2 linked regions of the Oreochromis niloticus genome follow. The protein of the gene in region 1 interacts with the protein of each later gene in a pairwise test. Links are inferred from orthologs where the notes say so. Each region holds a gene or a part of one and is shown in the gene's direction. Other genes may lie near its edges. The genes, in order: rcc1l and nme6.

Region 1 (10,573 bases):
CTTGTCTGAATGTCCACCCACCTTTTGTCTGTCCACGTCTTTGAGTTTGTGGTTCTCTATCCACCTTTTATACTTAGCCTTGCTTTTCTTGTAGCCAAATCTGGCTATGTCAACCATGAACACCCACGCCAGCCCATACATAACCACTCCACCAAGCTTCATTATCAGTGAAGTCCTAGGAGAGGTGAGCTCGCAGTAAAACATCACCGTGCCGACTCCCACGCGAACAGTGGCAAACAGTAAAATAAAAAGCAGGTCCACCGCGTCGCCCAGCAGGCTGTCGTACAGGCCCACCTGGCGGAGGAACCAGCGGGTCTGCAGCAGGGGATTGGTGATCTCGCTGCCAAAGATGACCCCGCAGGTTTCACAGCCTGAGACTCCCATCAGTAAAGCCAGCAGGATGCCTGCAATACTGGCAGCATGATGTGCAAGCATGACGGGGCCCTCCGTGTGGTAGCATACACACCAACCCATGTCGAAGAAGAAGTAGCCGAGGCACACAGCCAGGGCGAAGCTCTGGAGCTCTGTGTTTTCTGTACCTGGTGGATGGATAAGAAGAAGGTCATCTGTATTTAGTATTTTCTTTATTGGTCAGAGAAACCACCTCAACTAGCTGAAGGCCAATAGGTTAGCAAACACTTGGAGCTGCACATATATAAGAGACAAAGAGTAGCATTAGCATTCATTTAAAGTCATGAATGTGTCCACCTAAAAGGAAAAAATGTTCAATATTCACTTTAATTAAATTTTTTTTAGCTTTGTTTTCATTTCCATCAACTCCTAAGAAACACATGTGATTGTTTAGCTGCTAAATGATCCACTATGTTCACAAGATAGCTGCTAACTTTGTCTGCTTGCTTGCAAAACCAACACAATTAACCAAAAAGACCCCTCCAAAAATGCTGCATCCTTATTTCCTTAATTTATTGCTGGTTTCCTTGCATGCTCAGCCCCACCACAGGGAAGGTGAAGTGGTTGGTGGTTTTATCTTAGATTCCTAATAACAGAATAAATGCTGTATGATAAAGATATTTGCATGCAATGCTGTGTGATACATGCACATGAAAAAATTCTTTAATGCAAATTTAGTGCTTGGAGAAATAACGTGAAGGTGTTTAAAGCATACCGTGGATCTCTGTATACTGCACACTTAAAGGCAAACTGTAAAAAGCTGGTTTATAATGAAGTCGCCTATAAAGCTTTGAGATTATTACTGAAGAGATGCTTCAGTGGAAGGAGTCCTTATATTTAAAGCTGTATCAAGAGATCTCGGGTTTGGAGGCTCAATACTTATGAGAATGAAATCATAGTTTGAATTGTGCTCATTTGGATAAGTCAGGGTTTTTTGGTTAGCAGTATTTTTGAGTGGATCCTGTTTAGCTGACCTCTTTTTATGGGCCCACGTATGTCTTAAAATAACCTACTTACATTTGTTTGTGGTTTTGATATATTTCTTTGTCTTTTTCGGTACCATAAAACCCACTTTTTGGAAAATTACACCTGTACCTGCAGGTTTTTGACTGCTTGGTTCTTTACTGTCTTCATCTTTTGGATGTTCCCTTTACGGGCCACCACAGAGAATCATCTGCCTCCATCTTACCCAGTCCCTAGCTTCTGTTGCACCAGAAGTTCTGTTGTGCTTTTCCTCTTAACCTCCTGCCTGGTACCTCCATCTTCAGCATCCTTTGCCCTACCACATGTACCATCCTGGTACAGCTATTTTTATGTACTTTTATTTTAATTTATTATACCGACCTAAATTCAATCATAATCATTTGTACATTTTTTGAAAAACTGTCTTTAATTCACAAACAGATTAAAACTCTGTGCTTATATTGATTCATTCATGGACTAATTACATTAATCCTTTCACTCAGTGATTAATTAACCGACTTATTGGTTCATTTAATGCAGACCGTGGATGTGTTTCACCTCCATTACCCACCAAACTGATTTGTACTTTACTTTTCATTAAATTTTAAAATATGCTGAACATCAGCACCATGCTGCTGATCCTGTTAACTCTCAGTGAGGACAGTAGACGGCTATAATTAGCACCATTCTGAATTTACATCACACCATGACCAGAAAGAGAGCATAATTAAATTAAATTAAATTAAATTAAATTAAATTAAATTAAATTACTAACTATACTTTGTAACTGCATTGGTAACATGTTTATTGATCCACTGACCTGCATGCGTGAAGGGCCAGGGTCCGTCTACGAAAACAACGTAGGCTGTGAGCAGCACTATGAGGACGCCGTGGGACAACGTGACCAGGCGACAGTTCCACTCGGGTCCCCGCTGAGTGAAGGTGCAGACGAACAAGAAGTAGAGACACAGCCAACCAATCAGGCTGCAGATGACCTCCAGCATCGGCATGGCTGTGTGTTTGGGAAGAACAGACACATCTGAGGTCTTTTACATGAGACTGCATTTAAGAACAAGTCACCAAAAGTGTAAAGCATTGATTTTATATTTGAACATATTTACATACAATATTAGGTTAACCATGTAGATGGATACTGGGTCCATGTAGAGTTAATGGGTTATTTACTCTAATGAAAACAAGCTTATTTGAAACAGTGATGATATAATAAGCTCAAATTTGACTTTAAAGTGTGACACGCTTACTGTCTAAAACAAATTATTTCAGTTTCTTTAAAACGTCACTTTTTTAAAACACTTGTGGGCACCAAGCAGCAAAGGCATACCTGCTGACTAATGACAACACAGCTAAACATGGGTGCCATGATATAAAATGTCAGTCTGTGCATTAATAAAAATACTGAAATTTCCTCATATCTGCGGCTACATTACAGTGTGCTGTAAACTCTGTGTTAACCAATCGGTAACAAGCAGGTTTTAAAGGAGCTAGATTTGGAAACAAAACCAACCTTAATATAAAATGATTTTATGCAATAATGCACCTGTGGCTGCTGGGTATTGTTGACCAAAGTACGTCTCCATACTCTGAAATAGAACAGTCATGCCGTGGTTTACCTTAACTCCTCCTCCTCTCAGTCGTCCTCACGTTCAGGATGCTTGTAGATATGGACTCCATCACTGAGGTAGCCTCAGCCTCCATCACTGTTTACACATAAAGCCTCCATCAAAGTGCTGTCAGCTCAGCATTTTTTTTAATGGACACATGTTCACTCGGCCAAGATGACAGATATGCCATGTGCAGGCTACTATGGACAGTTAGTGGATCCTGTTTCCCTTCCCCCTGGAAGTCAGACTTGATCCTCTTAAAGGATTACAGCCTCCACTTCTCTGCACATACCTGCTTTTGGACAGGGCGGGTGATACAAGGCTGCAGAGCAGCACATGCATCATAGTAAAGTAACACAAAACTGAAGTTAGGACCAGTCCTCTTTGAGCTCTGGACTGGTTTTGTGACTTTTAAAAGCTGTTTTGTCCAATTAATCCTGCTGATTTCACTGGTCTTTAATTGTAAAATGTCTTTTGTTTGTCTTTTAATTTAGCTCCCATATGTCAGCGTTTCCCCCCATACTATGCCCCACTGTTTACCCACTTTAAATCCATCACTCAACATTTTTAAGTCTTACCTGTTTGGGATGATGCCTGTGCTCTAAAAGTAAAATGAAGCTTAAAAAAGGTGAAAATGTTGCAAATCTGGTTTTACGTGAACTGGAATTAAAAAGAAGACATGCACAGGGTTAACTGGTGATTCTAAACTTCCTGGGGGAATGTGAGTGTGAATGGCAAGACGGGTTAAGTGACTGAACTGTTTAGTGGATGCTCGGATGGGTGGATGGTAGAATTGTACAATTATGTGAACGGCAGTATTTCAGATACAGCTCCACCTGCATAAAACAAAAAAACTGTCACAGCCTCTCCTTACTTTACAGCTCCTCCTATGACACCTGGACTATTTTTAGTAGAAATGAACTGCACATAGTAATGTTTTACTTTGAAGTTAAGTGAGCCTATCCAATTTCTTCTTCTTCTTCTTCTTCCGCCTAAAATCTCGTCTCACAGCTTTGAGAAAACTCCCACATATGTTACATCATTTCGTGCGGCCCATTCGGGAATAGTGTGATGTGACTTTTGGTAGCGATTTGTCATGGTTTTTGTGAAATTCCCAAAATACTTCAGAATTTTTCCCCATTCAAAAAGATCACCAACCCAGGCCACTTTGGAGCCCACTTTTCAATACGGATCTTTGTGCTTTCGTTTTTGTCCCCAGTTGTTTTGAGCAAGAGTTTTTTTTAGGTGTTCTTCAGGCATTTTCTGGCTGCATTGCTACTCCCTGTAAAGTTGTTTCTCTATATGTATCTCGATGGGCACTGGTCTGTTTTTATTAATTTTTGCCATCCTGTGCATTTTATCAGCACTTTAAACTGCCTTCCACATAAATAGGACACTGATTGAAAATAAAGACTCTTGCATGATGCCAGACATAAAAACAGAATGGGGATAATTTAGAGGAGGCAGACTGATATGTGTGATACTGCAGGATTAGAGGCCAAAATCTGTGATGTAATGAGCAGATGACACACCAGACCTCGTTGCTGATGTGGACATTGCAGACTCTGTCCATACTGTGTTGACATAACAGCAGATGCCACAATATGTCCTTCTGTAAAATGGTTAATTTCATGGACATATTGATGATTAAGTCACTAATGCTTGTATTTTAAAATTAGTGGTAAATAAAACTGCACTCAGGGTAGTTAGAAAACCCTCCAAACATTTCAGAAGAGGGGAGTGTGCGCTCTGAGGGCAGGTGGTTGATGCAGGTGGGTGAGTTACATATAGAAAATTTTCACAGCAGCACCGAGGCCAGAAGTTTTCACATGTGACCCTCCAGGCATTTCATTCACCTCCGCTACGGCAGGTTAATACCCTGTGAGGCGAAGGTCGGGTGCTCACCTGACAGCTCTGCAGCATTAACCCACTTACAGATCAGCTCTAATCTGACACCCGAGTAGATTATCGGCTAGGAAGGTAAAGCTATAACAGATATTATTACTCTATCACATTGTTATGCTACTTTCCTAACAGTGAGCACATATACAGGTGCTGAATTAGCCAGGAAAGTGTAGACAGCCTGGACACAATTATAATACTATGTTGATGTAATTTGATTGGCACAAATGATATTGAACAACATAATATAAATATGATCCAGAGAAGCTAAATATAGATTAGTACCAGCTTAATTCAAAGGAATATGTTTTACATCTTCCAGCAGTCATTTTTTTATTACTTTATGGTCACTTTGCATTTCATAGTTGTTCTTCCCTCCTTTGATTGCATCATTTTCTCTCTTTGCAGTGATTTTGCTTGTGTTTTCTCTAACTTCTGTCATATCTGTGTCATTTCTATCATATTGTAATCTTTTGCATGTCTTTGGCCATTTTGCATCTCTTTTGAGTCTTTTCTTCCTCTTCTCAATTCTTATTGAAGTTGTTTTGTGTCTTTCCAGGCTGTTTGATATTGCTTACTTTGATTTGTGGAAACTTGATTGGCTTTCAAAGTCCTTTTGACTTATACAAATCTATCTACTCCATTGTTAGGTTTTACAGCTTTAGTTATGTATTATTTTATAGTCAAAACAATAAATCTTCTAATAAATTATGCTGTTTTATTGTAGACACAGCTAGGCAGAGTTATATAAGTCATTCAGGTCATCTCCAGCTACAGCATTAAAATGATTTACACATATTTCCTGCCATTCATTAATCTGTTCACCTTCGCTGTAGAGCGCGCTTGGAGCTCCAGGGCAGCAGGCGGCGCTGTTGTTGTATTCTTAAAGGCGAACAGACGTGACGGAAGAGCGTCCTTCTGCATCCTGGGTTGGAGAAAGTTAACCTAAACAAACATGGAATAACGGCCCTGAAACATTTTCCTATAATTTCACCTGGAAGTCATCATTTCTGTAGAGCACGAGTGAGTTTCTCAGCATTATAAAATGCGGGTCTAACTGGAAGAGAAGGCAAATTTACCCCGGCTCAGTGGCTGCTGTTGGAAAGAACACGAGGTGAAACTCCCTTCAAATTTAACGTAATTTTAACTACCTTTCCGCAGCGTCAGATGTACAATCTGATAAGATTAATCATAAATGCCTTATGCAAATCCTTATAATCCGTTTTTCAAATCGGGGTTGATTACGAAGACTTAGTATTAACTGTTTTTAATGTAATTTAACCCAAAATGGATGCTCACGAGTCCCTTATTACGCCTGTTTTAATGTGGGATAGCTAACGTTAAATTGTTAACCGAGGCATAAATTACATTTAATCAAAGCTACTGTGGATCAGGTGCATGCCGAAGTTACTGCTAGGCTTTAGCCTTTTATATAAAAACTTAAAAGTCTCCTAGTATTGTGTGCGTAGTTTTGTAAAACCACAGAACATCTAATTTGATAGAAAATGTAAATGAAATGTGGCAGTGTGGTTTTTTTTTCCCCCTACACATTTAAAAAAAAAAAAAGCACATTTTGATAAAACAAAAATATATTTTTATTGTTTTGTAAAGGCAATTTAAAAAGTCTGATATATTTAAATGGAAAAGTAAAGAATTTTTTTTTTTTTTGAATTAAAGAACAGTTAATGTGGCTTATCATTACAATATTAAATGTCAGTATAGTTGGGTTAAACAACCACATCAACTTCATCTTGATTGTTTTCCCTGTTCCTGCTTTTTTCTACAGGATGGCTTTTCCCTCTGTGCGACTGTGTCCCCGCCACATGAGAGCAGGCCTTCAAGTCTGTTGGTATGCAACACTCAGCAAAGCATCCAGACCCCAGGAGAAGAGTGGCAGTGATCCGGTCTTCCAGTATGTCGGCCAGCACAAAAAGCCAACCCATAAAGTGTTTGTCTGGGGCTTCAGCTTCACTGGTGCACTTGGCATCCCTACCTTTGTAGTCCCAGACAGCGGCAGGAAAAAGCCCCGCAAATACCAGCTTACTCCTTATCGCTTGGAGACTGCAGAACAGGTAAAATCTGCCGGCACTATGAGAGTCTGAGTCTTATGGGTTGAGCTTTTAAAGATGTATAAGATAGTAATTGTTATTTAGGTGTAACTTCATAAAATATCAGTCAAATCAGGTAAACTGCTGCCGCCAGTCATACCTATGTCGACAAACCATTTTATATGTGTTAAGAGAGTTTTGTAAAGCTAAACTTGCTTTCTGCTGCTGCTGTTGCAGATCTCCTCTGCTGCCTGTGGTTACGGTTTCACTCTCATCGCGTCTCCAACCAAAGATGTGACCAAATTGTGGGGCATGGGCCTGAACAAAGATTCTCAGTTGGGCTTTCAGCGCACCCAGCACGACCGCCGTAAGACAGAAACTAAACTATTTATTTCTTTAAAGATAGTTTAAAGAACTTTGGATGTGAAAGAAGAATGGATATTGGACCCGTCAGGTGATGGCGATGCTAGGCATTGTCTGTATAAATAAGATGGCCATCACCAGTTGGTATGTTACTGTTTAAAGCCTTTTTTGAAGTTTGTTTTTTGGGAAGAATAGATGTACAAGAGAATACATGTGAACTGTATAGCAAGGAGGGACATAGCTTCTGGGCCTGCAAACTAGAGCCAGAGTCCCTTAAACCTGTGTTCTTTCTAATGGCCAGCAGGGGGCAACTACTGTCTGCAAAAAGAAGTGGAAAGAAGAGCAAAGAAGTACCCCAGAAATTAGGATAACGTTTACACAACTAAGGTGTCCAGTTAAGACAAATGCTGGAGGTTAAATAGGTTATACTGGGTCACATGATCCAAATGCTTAGTAGACACTCTTCTAATGTGTTTGTGTCTCAATCACTAGTTCCAAGACTTACTGAATAAAGCATGGTGTTCATTTTGTAAATTATGTTCCCCATGAGAGTCACCAAAAACTTTCTGGCTTCAACAGTTTTGCTTCTCATTCACTGAAAGCTGCCAGAAATCAATTGAATGCTCCCACTGATTTCCAAAGAGAGGCTGTCTTGAGCAAGGGAGCTGGTATCTTGGGATCTTATGCATAATTGTGACCGGAACGTGGAGCTTGCGTTGGTATCGGAGTGTTGTGGTAAAGGGATAGCTCTACTTGAAGGGGAGGCGTTCGATGTACCCGTCCATCTACGTCCCAACCCTCACCCATGAATGTAAGCAGCTGAAATTAGTCATAGTTTGACGAGCTCTGATGTTTGGAGGGATCCCTGAATAGAGCCGCTACTCCTGCGTGTTCATTAGGAAGCCTCATGGAGCCTTTCATTTGGAGGCTTTCTGGGCACATCAGTTGGGTGAAGACCCCCAACCTGCTGGTGCGATTGTATATCTCGTCTGGTCTAGGAACACCTCAGAATCCCCCAGAAGGGACTGGAAAGTGTGGATAGAGAGAAGGACGTCTAGAATACCCTGCTTAGCCTGTTGTCAGCTTGACTTCGGATAAGTGGAAGATAATAGTGCCAGCACCGGCAATAACCATACAAACACCTGCACAAGGCCCTAGTACAGCGGTTTGCTAATGAAATCATGATATGCAAATATCCAGACAGTGTGAGGGGGTGCTTTTGCAGTTTGGCATTAAAATAAAATAAAAGTTGATCATTGCAGTGAAAGTAACGGGTAATAAAAGCTATCCTACCGTGCCCTGTGATAAGAGCGCCAGCAAAGAGGAGGCTTTTTAAAGATTTCTTTGCTTCTGTTCTTCTACTCCTGCACCGGCGCTAATATATCGGGTCGATCTGAGTGGCGAATACTGCAGTAAGTGCCCACGCCCTCTTTAACAGTGATGTCACTGTTTTTACGTTATAAGACCATTGCAGCAACCATAATCGGCTCTCTAGGGTTACATTTGTCAGTCAAAGCTGCCAAGTGGCTGTAATGTGTAATTTGGAAAACTAAAGTGGTAACCTGCCATAAACTATATCCATCCTTTATGTATCTATAAGGGTATATATCTATCCCATATAGTCTATGGGATAGAGCTGAGGAGTGGTCTTCTTGTGTTAGCACGAGGATATGTTCGGAGTGTGTGTTTCTTCCATGTGTCACATTCCATTTCACAGTGTTTCTCTAACAAGTTTATATTAATATTATTTAAGGAGTATCACTGCTTTTTGTTCATGTGTCGTCTCGCCCTGTTCGTGTAGATAAGAGCTACGACTACGTGTTGGAGCCGTCGCCGGTGGCCCTGCCTCTCGTCGAGCCTCTGCAGACCAGAGTGGTTCAGGTTGCATGTGGACGGGCTCACTCTCTGGTCCTCACTGACCGAGAGGGAGGTAAGAGACGCACGCTTCCCGCACCAGCCTAAATCCAAACACACAAAAAGCTGCGGAGCATGTCGTCCCCCTGTAGAAACCTTTCAGCCACCTGTCGCACCATGTGTCCTTTTACATCATCCACCCACCGCCAACCAAAAATGAATCATTATCAGGCAGCTGTTACAGCTCATGCAGAAAGCTCATTAAGGTCTTCTGGTACATTCAGTAAATTAGCAGACTGATGTTCCAACAAGCTAATTTGTGAAAAGGCTTTTCGCCACTTTTTGTTGCCAGCCAGAATCTTTTTTTTCTTTCTGTTTTTTAATTTAAATGGGCTTTTATTGTGTTTTGCTAAATTGCAGAGTGCTTTGTTGTGATGTTGTTTTAACTGGTCGTAATTTGCTGGTAGAAATTTACTCCAAAGATTTGTGAGGCTAGTTTCTGACAAAAGAAAGATGTGTCACGGCTAACACACAGTGCGATCTACTGCGGTGCATTGTTTTAAAGGGTACTGCAGCTGATATTTTAGATTTTTCTGATATGAGTATTTATGCAGTTATCTAAATTACTTGTATTTTAAGTGGCCACCAAGTGATAAAAACAGCATGTATGAAATCATCCTGCAGGTTATGTTTCTGCTGTCCTTGATATCGCCTGTATGACCAAAACATGGTGCACCCGTGTGCAGAGCATACAAAAGATTTTAAGGTGGCGTTTAATTCTGCAGCTGAAGTTAGCCAGGCAGCTGTTCTGTTAAGCTCAAACTATCTCTTTTTTTAAACCTTAGTTTAAACAGCATAGCAGATTGTTGTTGCTGCTAAATGTAATCATAGTATTAAAGTCACTAATCTTACAGCTTTTCATGACATGTACTGCAGAGTCCATTAAAGCTTTTAAAAACAAAATGGCATTTATCACCCTTTATCTAAAACACTTTGAGCTTCTCAGGTGTTTCTTATTTATTTGAGAATCAGTTTTTATTGAGGTAGAGTGGGACACATGCAATGTATTGTTATATAATATGATGTCTAAAATTAATTAAATTTACACAAAAATAGGATAATTGAAATGTTTTATAAATAAATTAAACAATTAAATTCAGTACAGTTTTATGTATATAGTGCCGAATCACATCAACAGTCACCTCACAAGGTGGCTTATGTTGTATAGTAAAGACACTACAATAATACAGAGAAAATCCCAACATTCAGTGTCCCTGTTTGAGCAAGCACTTTGGTGACAGTGGGAAGGAAAAACTCCCTTTTAACAGGAAGAAGCCTCCGGTAGAACCAGGCTCAGGGAGGGGCGGCCGTCTGCCGTGACTGGTTGGGGGTGAGGGGAGGGAGAGAGGA
Region 2 (10,479 bases), on another chromosome or scaffold:
ATTTTTAACTACCGTTCACATACCGGGGCCCCCGTTTGCTAATCACTTTGTTCCCCTCTGTCATACCCATCTGCCCTGCTGCCAATGTCCCACTGCTTCTGGGGAGGTCAAAACACACTTCACTTGGCAGGAGGAAATAATTTCCCTCAGGACACCAGACAGGAGCTTTGAATGATGAACTCCAGAGCAGTTTCTTCAACAGCAGATAATATGGAATTCTATTGGTATAAATAAAGTGGCAGCTGACACCAGACCAGATCTTGGACATGCACACGGAGTGACCCCCACCTCTTCTGGCAGGAAAGCTCCTGTAGGAGGTGGTGGTGGGAGGTGGTGGGAGGTGGGGGGGGTGGGGGGGGGGGTGGAGGGTTGACAAATAACTTAATAACGTCATAAGAAATAACTTAGAAGTAAGACTAAAACTGTGATTTGAGATGGTAAAGAATGGCATCATGGCAACAGATAATAGCTTAAAGTGTCTAAAAACATTTGCACACATTTTTTTATGTATTCTAAAGGCACACTAAAAAGATTAGGAGCTGGCCTAGTTGAAAAAGCAATAGTGAGCTGCTTAATCCTGACAATGGTAAGACAGTACTGTGCTGCTGACTCATTACGTGGTCTGATATTAATGGCGCTCTCTGTCCTTCCCTGGGCACAGCAGTTGCCAGCATCGAGGTTGACACAGCTGCCAAAGGAAGCCCGGTCCGTGTGGTGAAGCAATGGAGCAGAAAGGTCAAAGGTCAGCAGCATTTATGCTGAAAGAGAGAACAGGTGATGGAGAGGTGAAGGAAACTCGCCCACATGACTCAAGGAGAGGACAGAAGGATTTAAACGGATACTCTGAGGCTGTGAGATTTAGGACTGAGGAAATGCAGCAGTTGGTGACATCAGTGTCTTTATTGTTTGGTGTTTGGTTAGAAAACAGCAAACAGTTTTCATTTCATTTCACCAACACAGAGAAAAAAGCTTGTTATTAATGTGGCACCCTAAGTAATTCAATTCAAGTCAGTTTTATTTATATGGCACCAAATCACAACAGCAGTTGCCTCGAGGTGCTTGGGATTGGGCTTCGGTCTGTTACTGAAGCCACCCAAAGGTGCCAAAACAGGAAACACATCCCACACTTTTCTCACCAGCCCGACAGTTAGGACATGAAAGGGTTCTGGGTGTTACACTGGAGCCTGTGTCACCCTAGAAGGGCCTACTGAGGTGACACGTGAGGTCTGATTTTGGACGATAGCAGGGGACAAATTAAGTACAATTTTATTAAACGATCATATTCACCGTGCTATTGTGCCAAAGCATGGTATGATGTTTTGGGAGCTCAATTACATAATGGCAATGACAGGCTGAAATGACTTCGCAGGCAGGCATATCTAACTGCTAATATTAAAAATCATAGCATCTATTATACAGTGCTTAAAATGTCTATTAGATCACCACCCAATTTAAGGTTTATGCCACAGTTTTCCTAATTAATAGTATTAGTAATTACTTAAATAATTTTTTTGAATGTTTCTGTAAAGGTTTAATCCACCAGTATGTGCCAGCTCTTTAATCAAAATGATGTGTTGAGTGCTAAAATGTAACTATTGTTGTTAACCACGAATTTTCAAATTGACTGTTTGACAAAATTTTTTTAGTTTTTGATTAAGATGCCAAATTATATTTATTTATTTGCATTCCTGAACAGAAAAATCTGTTTTAGGGGTTTCTGAAAAACATGATTTCAGGTTTTAATTCTGCCTAATAAATACAACTATGATTTTTTTAAACAAGTTTTTATCATACTTGGTCTAATACATTTGTTAAACACTGTCATATAGAGTAAGAGTCTTTCAAATAATAACTGGATCACATTGTGAATGTTTCTTGTCATAGAAACCAATACCTGAAGGCGAAAAGTATGTGACACCATACATCCTCCTGTGTATCGATATACAGTATGTGTGTATATAAATAGTGAAGCAAACTGTAGATCCATATTAAGATACCGATTACTGCGGTCAAAAGGGGCAGTTTCATTTTCACTGTAGTAAATCAGATGGAATTTTTACTAAATGCCTCACTGTAGAGGATAATAAAGGGTAAGATATTAAACTGTTTCTTGTTTAGGCTCATTATTTCCTCGTGAAATTTCCTAAACTGAACCATTCAGTTTGGATAAGGTTTAACAACATTGTTTAAAGGTGATTTTATAATAAAGGATTTTTTCTCATCTGAAGACAAACCTGACTTGTTTTCTTTTTTATTAATGTTCAACTTCCAAAGAGTTCAGTGGAATTGATTCTTTTCAGGGAATAACGATTGGCATATTACACATTCCTTTCCTGAGCCTTCTTGTGCATGTACAGCTGTCAATGCCTTCCTGTAACACAAGCAAACTTACAGTATTTTATACTGTAAGTACCAGTCAAACAAAGAAAATGTTATTTATGAGGCAACATGTGTGAGCTATTACAGAGACAGCAGACATATAACTATGTTGTGTATGTAATACATATTTAGTTTATTTTAATATTTATTTAAAACAACATATGCATTATTGTTGATAAAACAACCAAGTCTTTCAGAGGAACAGAAATCATCAAGTGCATGAATTAAAACCATTAAAAAAAAGGACTTGATATAAAAATGACACAGCCTAAAAATTAAAAGAATAACAGGATAATAATTAAAACCAGCAAGAGGGCAGTAAAAATATAACACATTTAGTTTAAAACCAATAAAATAAGCAGACATTCAATCAATCAATCAATAACTGACACTCTTTTTAAACAGTGTAACTACATAAAGATACTGTGCACATTTCCATCACAGTTGGTCATGACAAAAGCTCCGTTTTTCCTCACATTAAACATTCCTCCCTAACATGTTTTCACGTGATACTTTGCGGTGGCTCCTGGCAAAAGAATGAGCAGCCTATGGACACCCAAGCACCCATGGGGGTCGTGAGTAAGTCAGTTGTCAGTTGACTCCCACCAAAAGGGAATGACAACTGCATGAGAGCCAGAAGCAAGGGAAGGAAGAGAAGCAAGAGAAGCAACAGCAGCAGGGGCACGGAGATGAAACAGAGATGAGTTTTATGGTGGTCAACGAGTGGAGGATCAGCTGAATCAGCCGACCAGCTGAGAACGCTTGAAGTGAGAGTCAGCAGTGAGCATCAATGATGCCTGATGCTGATGGACACTTGGACAGAATGCTGATGATTCTGTCCAAGTGTTGTGCTCTACCCTCTAAAAACTGCTTTTCAGGAAGTTTGGTGTACTTTTCAGTGACTGCTCCTCAATACATCATCTGCAGAGATGCTGAGCGGACACAGCTAGAATTGGAAGGAGCCCTTTGTAGGAAAAAAAAAGAGCCTTTAACATTAACATGTAACAAGTTATTTCATATTAAGGCAATAACAATTTCAAGATTAAAACAAACACTATTTTTTAACACTTCTGAGCAGTTTTTGTATATAAATGGCAACAATATATTATTTTTACCATTCCAAATTGCAATTATGATAGTCTGGCTTAAAAAGAAATACAAGAATGACTGATGTTTAAAAAAAAGTTTAATATTTAAAAACTATGTTTCCTGGAAAAGACGCTGGTGTTGTGTAAATTTAATGCTGCTTATATTAAATGGATAGTATGAAGCTCGCAGTATCTCCATAACCAGACAGTTCAGCCATATCAACTAATTTGGGGGATGTGAGGTCCTAAAAGTATTTCAGGTTTTCCCATCGATTGAAATGTTGCCAGTTCCCTAAAAAGTGGTTTTCTACTGTAGTCAACTGTTGACTGCTGGAAACCAGATAATAAAATTCTTGCTGGTGTTAAATGTGCACTTATTAGTACAAGATCAAAGGGCGACTAGGGTACTTTTGCATGTAAAACTGAGCTACCCTTACATGTATTGACTCCTTCCACTTGTAATACTTGCTAATATGGTGCTGACTGCCAATGTGATTATTAAATTTTGCTGATTAAAAATGTACAGGATATCTGTGTAAGCATGGCTGAACAGCTACATTTTATCCTGTCATGTTAAGCTTTGATTTGATATCATGATGCCTTAGACCAGGGATGCCACACTCATTTTACATTGAGGGTTACTTTGATATTAAGTGGGCCAGAGGAGTGAAACTGCACTTTCTGTCAGTGTAAAGACATTTAGCGACATATTTAATCCCAGAGATATCTTGATATGAGATGAAGTGTAATTTCAACAGCACATCTCAGTTTCTATACATGATCAATTTTCTTGTAGCTCACTGCTCAGACTGTCCTATATTTATAATACATAAAGTTTTTTGTTGATTGATGAAATTTCTATAATCCACAATGAAAAACATAAACTCTTCTGTCATTTTATTGTTTATCTATTACATATCTACTTTAGTGTAGTATGAAAGCTTCCAGGGGAGAGCTTTATCAGCAGGAAAAAGCTGTAAAACCTATTAAAATATAGTTAAAAGTACAAAAGTTAATGCACTTGTTCATATTTTCCAAAGTCATCGAATGGGCCCAACTGGAATCTTCGCTGAGCGGATTTTGACCCTCACACCTTACGTTTGACACCCTACCTTAGACAAATTCATAAGTGTAAAAAATACAAAATAACCTGTATTTTGTGTCACTCAGCAACAGTATTTCATTTCCAATTTATTTACAGCAAAGCAAATGATCATAAAATAGCACAACACCCTCACATAACTTTCATATCCAAGATTCTTTTCTCTCACGTCTTCCTAACGATTGAGTTGAACGCCTTTATTGTCAGTGGAAGATGTGTATGTATATGTATGGATTGTAAAGCCAATAAAAACACAAAAACTACAGGTTACATAGAATTTGGGTCTTCAGTCTGTACTCTTAAAATATATCCAATTTAACTCTGCACCTCTTCTTATCCTCTTCAGCCCTCTCATGGGAGGTAACAGCTGTCCTGTCACCCCAAGTCACATGACATGGGCAGGTGGGCGAAACCTATGTGGGACATCTAACTACCCTCCTCCCCCCCATTCTGTCTCTCTGAATGTCAGACACACACACACACACACACACACACACACACACACACACACACACACACACACACACACACACAATCTCTACTCTTCAAGGGTGTGGCCATTTTGCATTGCTGGAATGTGCTCTGTGTTTGTAATTCATACTGTATGTCTGATCTGCCCCAGTGTTGAAATACCAGAGACAAAAATCTGTCTCGTTCCAGTCCCTGCTTGTAGCCGGTGTGCTGCTGAACTCGACGTCTCGGTTTTATGTTCAAACATTCTCGCTCACTTTGATGTGCTGGGAAATTTCTCTATATCGATCGTCTATATCACATACTTGGAACTGCTACTCCTTTGCTGATAATTTGATCTTTGTGACATGGAGTGTTATTTCTACATTAACAATACTCAGGCATGCTGTGGCTTTTTTGCAATGCTTAGTTGGTACTAAAGTGTTCCAAGAAAATATCTCCCACATCATTATACTGTTTACACTGAACAGTTCATATAAAGAATTATGGATCCATGCTTTTGTGTTATTTACATCAAATTCTGACACTGCCTTCTGACCAGGTGACATTTTTTCATTTTTCTATTGTCCAGTTTGGTTGAGCCTGTTAGAATTGCAGCTGCAATTTCCTATTCTCAGCTGACAGGAGTGTACCCGGTGCGGTCTTCTGCTGCTCTAGGTCATCTGTTTCAGATTTCAATGTGTTGTGTGTTCAGATCTTCGGCAGATCTTGGTTGTAACAAGTGGTGATTTGATTACTGTTGCCTTCCTAACAGCTCGAAGCAGTCCAGTCATTCTCTTCTATTCTGAAATCAATGAGCTATTTTTACAGAGAGAATTACTGCTCTATTGCTGCTTCAATAGAGCACCTTTGAATAATGTCTCTTTTTAAGACCATCTTCTTTAAACCCTAGAGATGGCTGTGTGGGACAATCCCAGTATATCAGAGCAGCCCGTCTCGCACCAACACTCATGCTACATTCAAGAATTATGGATCCATGCTTTTGTGTTATTTACATCAAATTCTGACACTGACTTCTGGCCAGGCGACATTTTTCCATTTTTCTAGCGCTCCCATACGGGAACAATAGGAAAGTATTTGTCTCATTCCAGTGCCAAATGCAATAATAAGTGCAGTATACCAGTACTTACGTGTAGTTACGTTCCTATTCTACCTACATGTTATTGTGGAAATCAAGAAAAATAATTCCAAAAAGCTTCTATTAGAACTAAAGTTTATAAGACATGAAATCTCTGTTTTTTCTTCTTCTTCTCGCGGGGGAACAAACTCTGCGGGCACTGTTTCTGGGGACCCTTTTTACGAACGGACAGACCAAGCACCGACTCGTTCAGCTAATTTTCACATTTTAAGCGTTGTTTTTGGTGTAATTGGACGAGCAAGGATGCAGACTATATTCACACCTACAGTTTAGATAACCGCTAACTCAACAAAGTTAAGCGTTTTTATTTGCAACAGTATTTGCACAGCGTTTTTATTTAACAGTATGTCGGCGGCTGTTGCTCTGCTCCCCTTTACAAACTGATTGTTGTTTCTTTTTTTGGACAGAAGTCACAACAGAGGTTAGTATCAGTCACGAACTCAGCACTGACGTGTTGGAAACTGTGTCACGCAGAAAAAGTTCGTATTTTTTTAAATTAATTTTATATGATTTATATTAATGGTAAATTAACGATAAAAAAAAATCGAAAAAGAAGTCGCATCTTCGTTGCTTGTGGTGTTTGTTTTGTATTAATTTAACTAAAAATTTAAGTACTTTAGGCGAGTTGGATCTTATCATTGAGGGCGTATTTTCTGTTCAGTCTTTAGATAATGTTGCTGACAAGTGCTCGCCTGTCCAAAGTGCTGCAGCTCACCCTGGCGGTCATCAAACCAGATGCTGTGGCTCATCCTTTGATGCTAGAGGTGAGCTGCCCTCATGTTTCTTTTAAGTTACAGAATTTAAGACCTAAGATTACACAGCTTAAGTGGTAGTCTGAAAGCTATTCCCAGTTACTCACAGATCAAAAAACTAAACTATCACTTCCTCGTGGCACAGATTCAACAAGGTGCTGCAAACATTCCTCTGAGATTTTGGTTGATATTGACATAATGGCATCACACAGTTGCTGCAGATTTGTTGGCTGTACATTCATGATGAGACTCTCTTGTTCCCCCACATTCCAAAGGTTCTCTCTTGGATTGAGCTCTGGTGACTGGCCATTTGAGTGCAGTGATCTCATTATCTATGTTCAAGAAACCAGTTTGAGATATTTTGAGCTTCCTGAGAGTTGTAATACTCAGACAGGCGGTGGCATTTAAGTGTTGCTCAATTGGTACTAAAAGTGTTCCAATAAAATCTCCCTCATTACACCACCACCATCAGCCTAAACTATGCATACAAGGCAGGATGTATCCATTCGTTCATGTTGTTTACACCAAATTCTGACTCTACCATCCAAGTGTTACAGTAGAAATGGAGACTCATCAGCACCTGATAACATTTTCCACTCTTCTGTTGTCCAGTTCAGGTGAGACTGTGTGAATTGTGGAATCAGTTTCCTGTTCTGGGCTGACAGGGCTGGCACTGATGTGTTTTCTTTTTGCTTGTGTAGCCAATTTGCTTCAAGGTTCAACATGTTGTGAAATTCTCTTGTGCAGACCTTTGTTGTAATGGGCGATTGTTTGAGTCACTGTTGTCTTCCTATTAGCTCAAAGCAGTCTGGCCATCCTCCTCTGACCTCAGGCCCCAACAAGTAGATCATCGGTTTCTGAAATACATCTATTCTGACTGTCTGTTTGTAGTTCAGCAGGTTGTTTTCATCATGTCTACATGTCTAAAAGCATTAACTTGCTGCCATTTGATTGGCTGGTTTGATGAATGAGCAGATGAACAGTTGTACCCAATAAAATGACCAGTGAATGTTATTTTCACTTTTCCAGATTTCAAACATTTGTTGCTCTTTCTCAGGGCATTACAGTTTGCATGGTGTGGTTTAAATACTGTTCCTTATTTGTTTAATCTGTAAAGATTAGTTTTTGGAATTAATGAAGCATAAATGAACACATCTTTCTATTTAATTATGTTTTTTTTTTTAACCCACTGTCAAATAAAACAGCAATTAATTAATTGATGTTATCTGTTCTGATATCAATTTAATTGAGTAGTAAAGAATCGGCATTTGCTCACTTCACAGACCTGGAGGCTTCAAAATCATAGCAGCTGTGTCTATCATAAAATATTCCATCAGTGATAGGTTTAATTTCACTTGTTAATGTGCATTACTTTATTATCATCTCAATTTAAAGAATAAGAGGATGACCTTTTGAATCAGAGCTGTCAATTTTTACCCTTTTCTCTGCAAAAAAATCTACCCACAGTAGGAAAAAGCATATAAAGTTGATCCAGTCATGTTTTGATGCAACTTGGAGGACAAACATGATGATTTCTATATTTCAGGCTCTTCACCAGTTAATTCTAGACAACAACTTTGGGATTGTTAGATGCAAAGATCTGGTCTGGAGACGACAGGACTCTGAGAGGTTTTATGCTGAACATTCAGGTTTGGAAATATTTCATTTGTGTTTAAGCTTTACTTAAATGAGAGAAGTACTGCTGTGGTATATGATGTAACCAAATAAATGAGTCAGCAGCCTATTTTAACAGGGTGCACTGTATGCATGACTGTTAAAAGAAATAAATGTCTTGTCAAATGAAGGATAGCTGTTTTCTCCTTTTTGTTATTGAAGGTCTTTATTTTCTGTTTTACAAATCTCAGGGAGATTCTTCTATCAAAGACTTGTTGAATTCATGTCAAGGTAAGCCTCCATGCTTATATCATGGACACATTTCTTTGACTCCATGTGATTGAGTTACGATTTTATATGTTTGGATGATTGTTGTTGGGTGTTGTATTTTAAATGGAATAATGGATGGAGAGCCATCAGCACCTCCGCTGGTAGTACTCCAATTTCATGCTCAGTAAGGCACCAGTAAACGATTTTCCCAAAACAGCACAACAGGAGTTTCAGTTATCCGTGTTTAGAACACAATTCCCTGGTGCAGTAGCCTAAATATCGCTATGCAGACCACTCACAATACGTCCTCCTGCTGCGAGCCTCAATGGGATTGGTAAAGGTCTTTGTAATTACTTTGTCTTTTTTTTCTCTGCTCACAGCAGTGAAGCAGTAGTTGCTACAGCAACCCTTCTCTGACTGCTGCTATTGATATCGCAAACATAGGAAGCATCTTCAAGTGTGTCAGCCAGTCAAGCTTGATGCCGCACCAGCTGGCATTGTTTAGCTAAAATGGATTTATTTATGGCCGAACTGTCTTCCCAGGAGGTCCTGGGGGCGAATAGATTAGATTTGTATGAAGAGTGGTTTTTTGGTCTGCTATCTAGAAAACATCAGCAATGTTCAAAGTCAAATTCATGACTGCTGTTGAAATTTGTCTGCAGTGGGCCAATGCGAGCGTACATTTTAGCCAGGAAGGATGCCATAAGCCACTGGAGAGAACTGATGGGGCCGACCAAAGTGTTCAGAGCCAGATTCAACTCGCCTGCTTCTATCAGGGGCCAGTTTGGACTCACAGACACAAGGAACACAACTCATGGCTCAGGTAAAAAAGCTCCCAAGCTCCATAATGCTAAAAAAAATTATATGTGTAATGTTAATAATCTATTATTGTGAATATATTATCTTAAACATATGCAAGAGGACATAACTCCTGCGGTTACCAGGTTTACACATCACTAAATTTCACATCTTTTAAAGCCCATCAGTTTCTATAATGGTGTTTGGAGTCATTGGGCAGAAAACAAAATAGTGCAAAACTGTGCAAAACACCTCTTTTCTTTTTGTTTCACTGGAAAATTGGGAAATGGGTGCAATGATTTATTGAAACGTGCAAACATGCATGAAAATATAAGGCAAAAACAGCTTTCTGTAGTTTCAGGAATAGTTCTCCAGGCTTTTTCAAGGACATTCAAAGCTTTTCTTCAGATGTTGGGCTGCTTTTTTCAGTCCTGTGTCAAGATGATCACACACTGCTTCAGTAATGTCGAGTTCTGGGCTCTGGTTCCATTGTGCCCCACTGGCATGCTTTTACTGCATTGACAGTGTGTTTGGGTCATTGTCATGCTCAAAAAATGAAGCTATTGCCAGTCGGATGCTTTCAACATAGTATTGCATGGTGGATCAAAATGTGACTGTACTTTTCTGTGTTCGTAATTCCATCAATTTTGACAAGACCTCCAACACCACTGACTGAAATATAGCCCTAAACCATGACAGAGCCTCCACTGTGTTTTACAGATGGCTGTATACACTCACTGTTGTACCTCTCTCCTGACCTCCTCTGTACACACTGATGTCAGCTTGAAGCAAATATTTTGAATTTGGATTCTTCACTCAGTCAGTCCTTAAATTTTTAGACCAATTAAAAAGAAGCCTGTTATTACT

Evidence for each region.
Region 2: the proteins of rcc1l (region 1) and nme6 interact in binary tests that used the Homo sapiens proteins (3 or more experiments, as listed by UniProt). The link is inferred for Oreochromis niloticus from reciprocal best matches to the Homo sapiens genes RCC1L and NME6.

What each region holds. Positions count from the first base shown.
Region 1 is NC_031975.2:26,829,682-26,840,254, forward strand, and holds the start of rcc1l (RCC1-like G exchanging factor-like protein), read left to right. Parts: upstream 1-5,802; 5' UTR 5,803-6,012; intron 6,013-6,684; 5' UTR 6,685-6,685; coding exon 6,686-6,970; intron 6,971-7,183; coding exon 7,184-7,313; intron 7,314-9,110; coding exon 9,111-9,239; intron 9,240-10,573. Other genes in the region: transmembrane protein 136, read right to left, coding at 1-539, 2,195-2,384. UniProt on the Homo sapiens protein: Guanine nucleotide exchange factor (GEF) for mitochondrial dynamin-related GTPase OPA1. Activates OPA1, by exchanging bound GDP for free GTP, and drives OPA1 and MFN1-dependent mitochondrial fusion. Plays an essential role in mitochondrial ribosome biogenesis.
Region 2 is NC_031980.2:8,809,121-8,819,599, forward strand, and holds the start of nme6 (nucleoside diphosphate kinase 6), read left to right. Parts: upstream 1-6,293; 5' UTR 6,294-6,599; intron 6,600-6,839; 5' UTR 6,840-6,849; coding exon 6,850-6,942; intron 6,943-8,476; coding exon 8,477-8,579; intron 8,580-8,795; coding exon 8,796-8,835; intron 8,836-9,476; coding exon 9,477-9,637; intron 9,638-10,332; coding exon of another isoform or gene 10,333-10,388; exon of another isoform or gene 10,389-10,431; intron 10,432-10,479. UniProt on the Homo sapiens protein: Major role in the synthesis of nucleoside triphosphates other than ATP. The ATP gamma phosphate is transferred to the NDP beta phosphate via a ping-pong mechanism, using a phosphorylated active-site intermediate. Inhibitor of p53-induced apoptosis.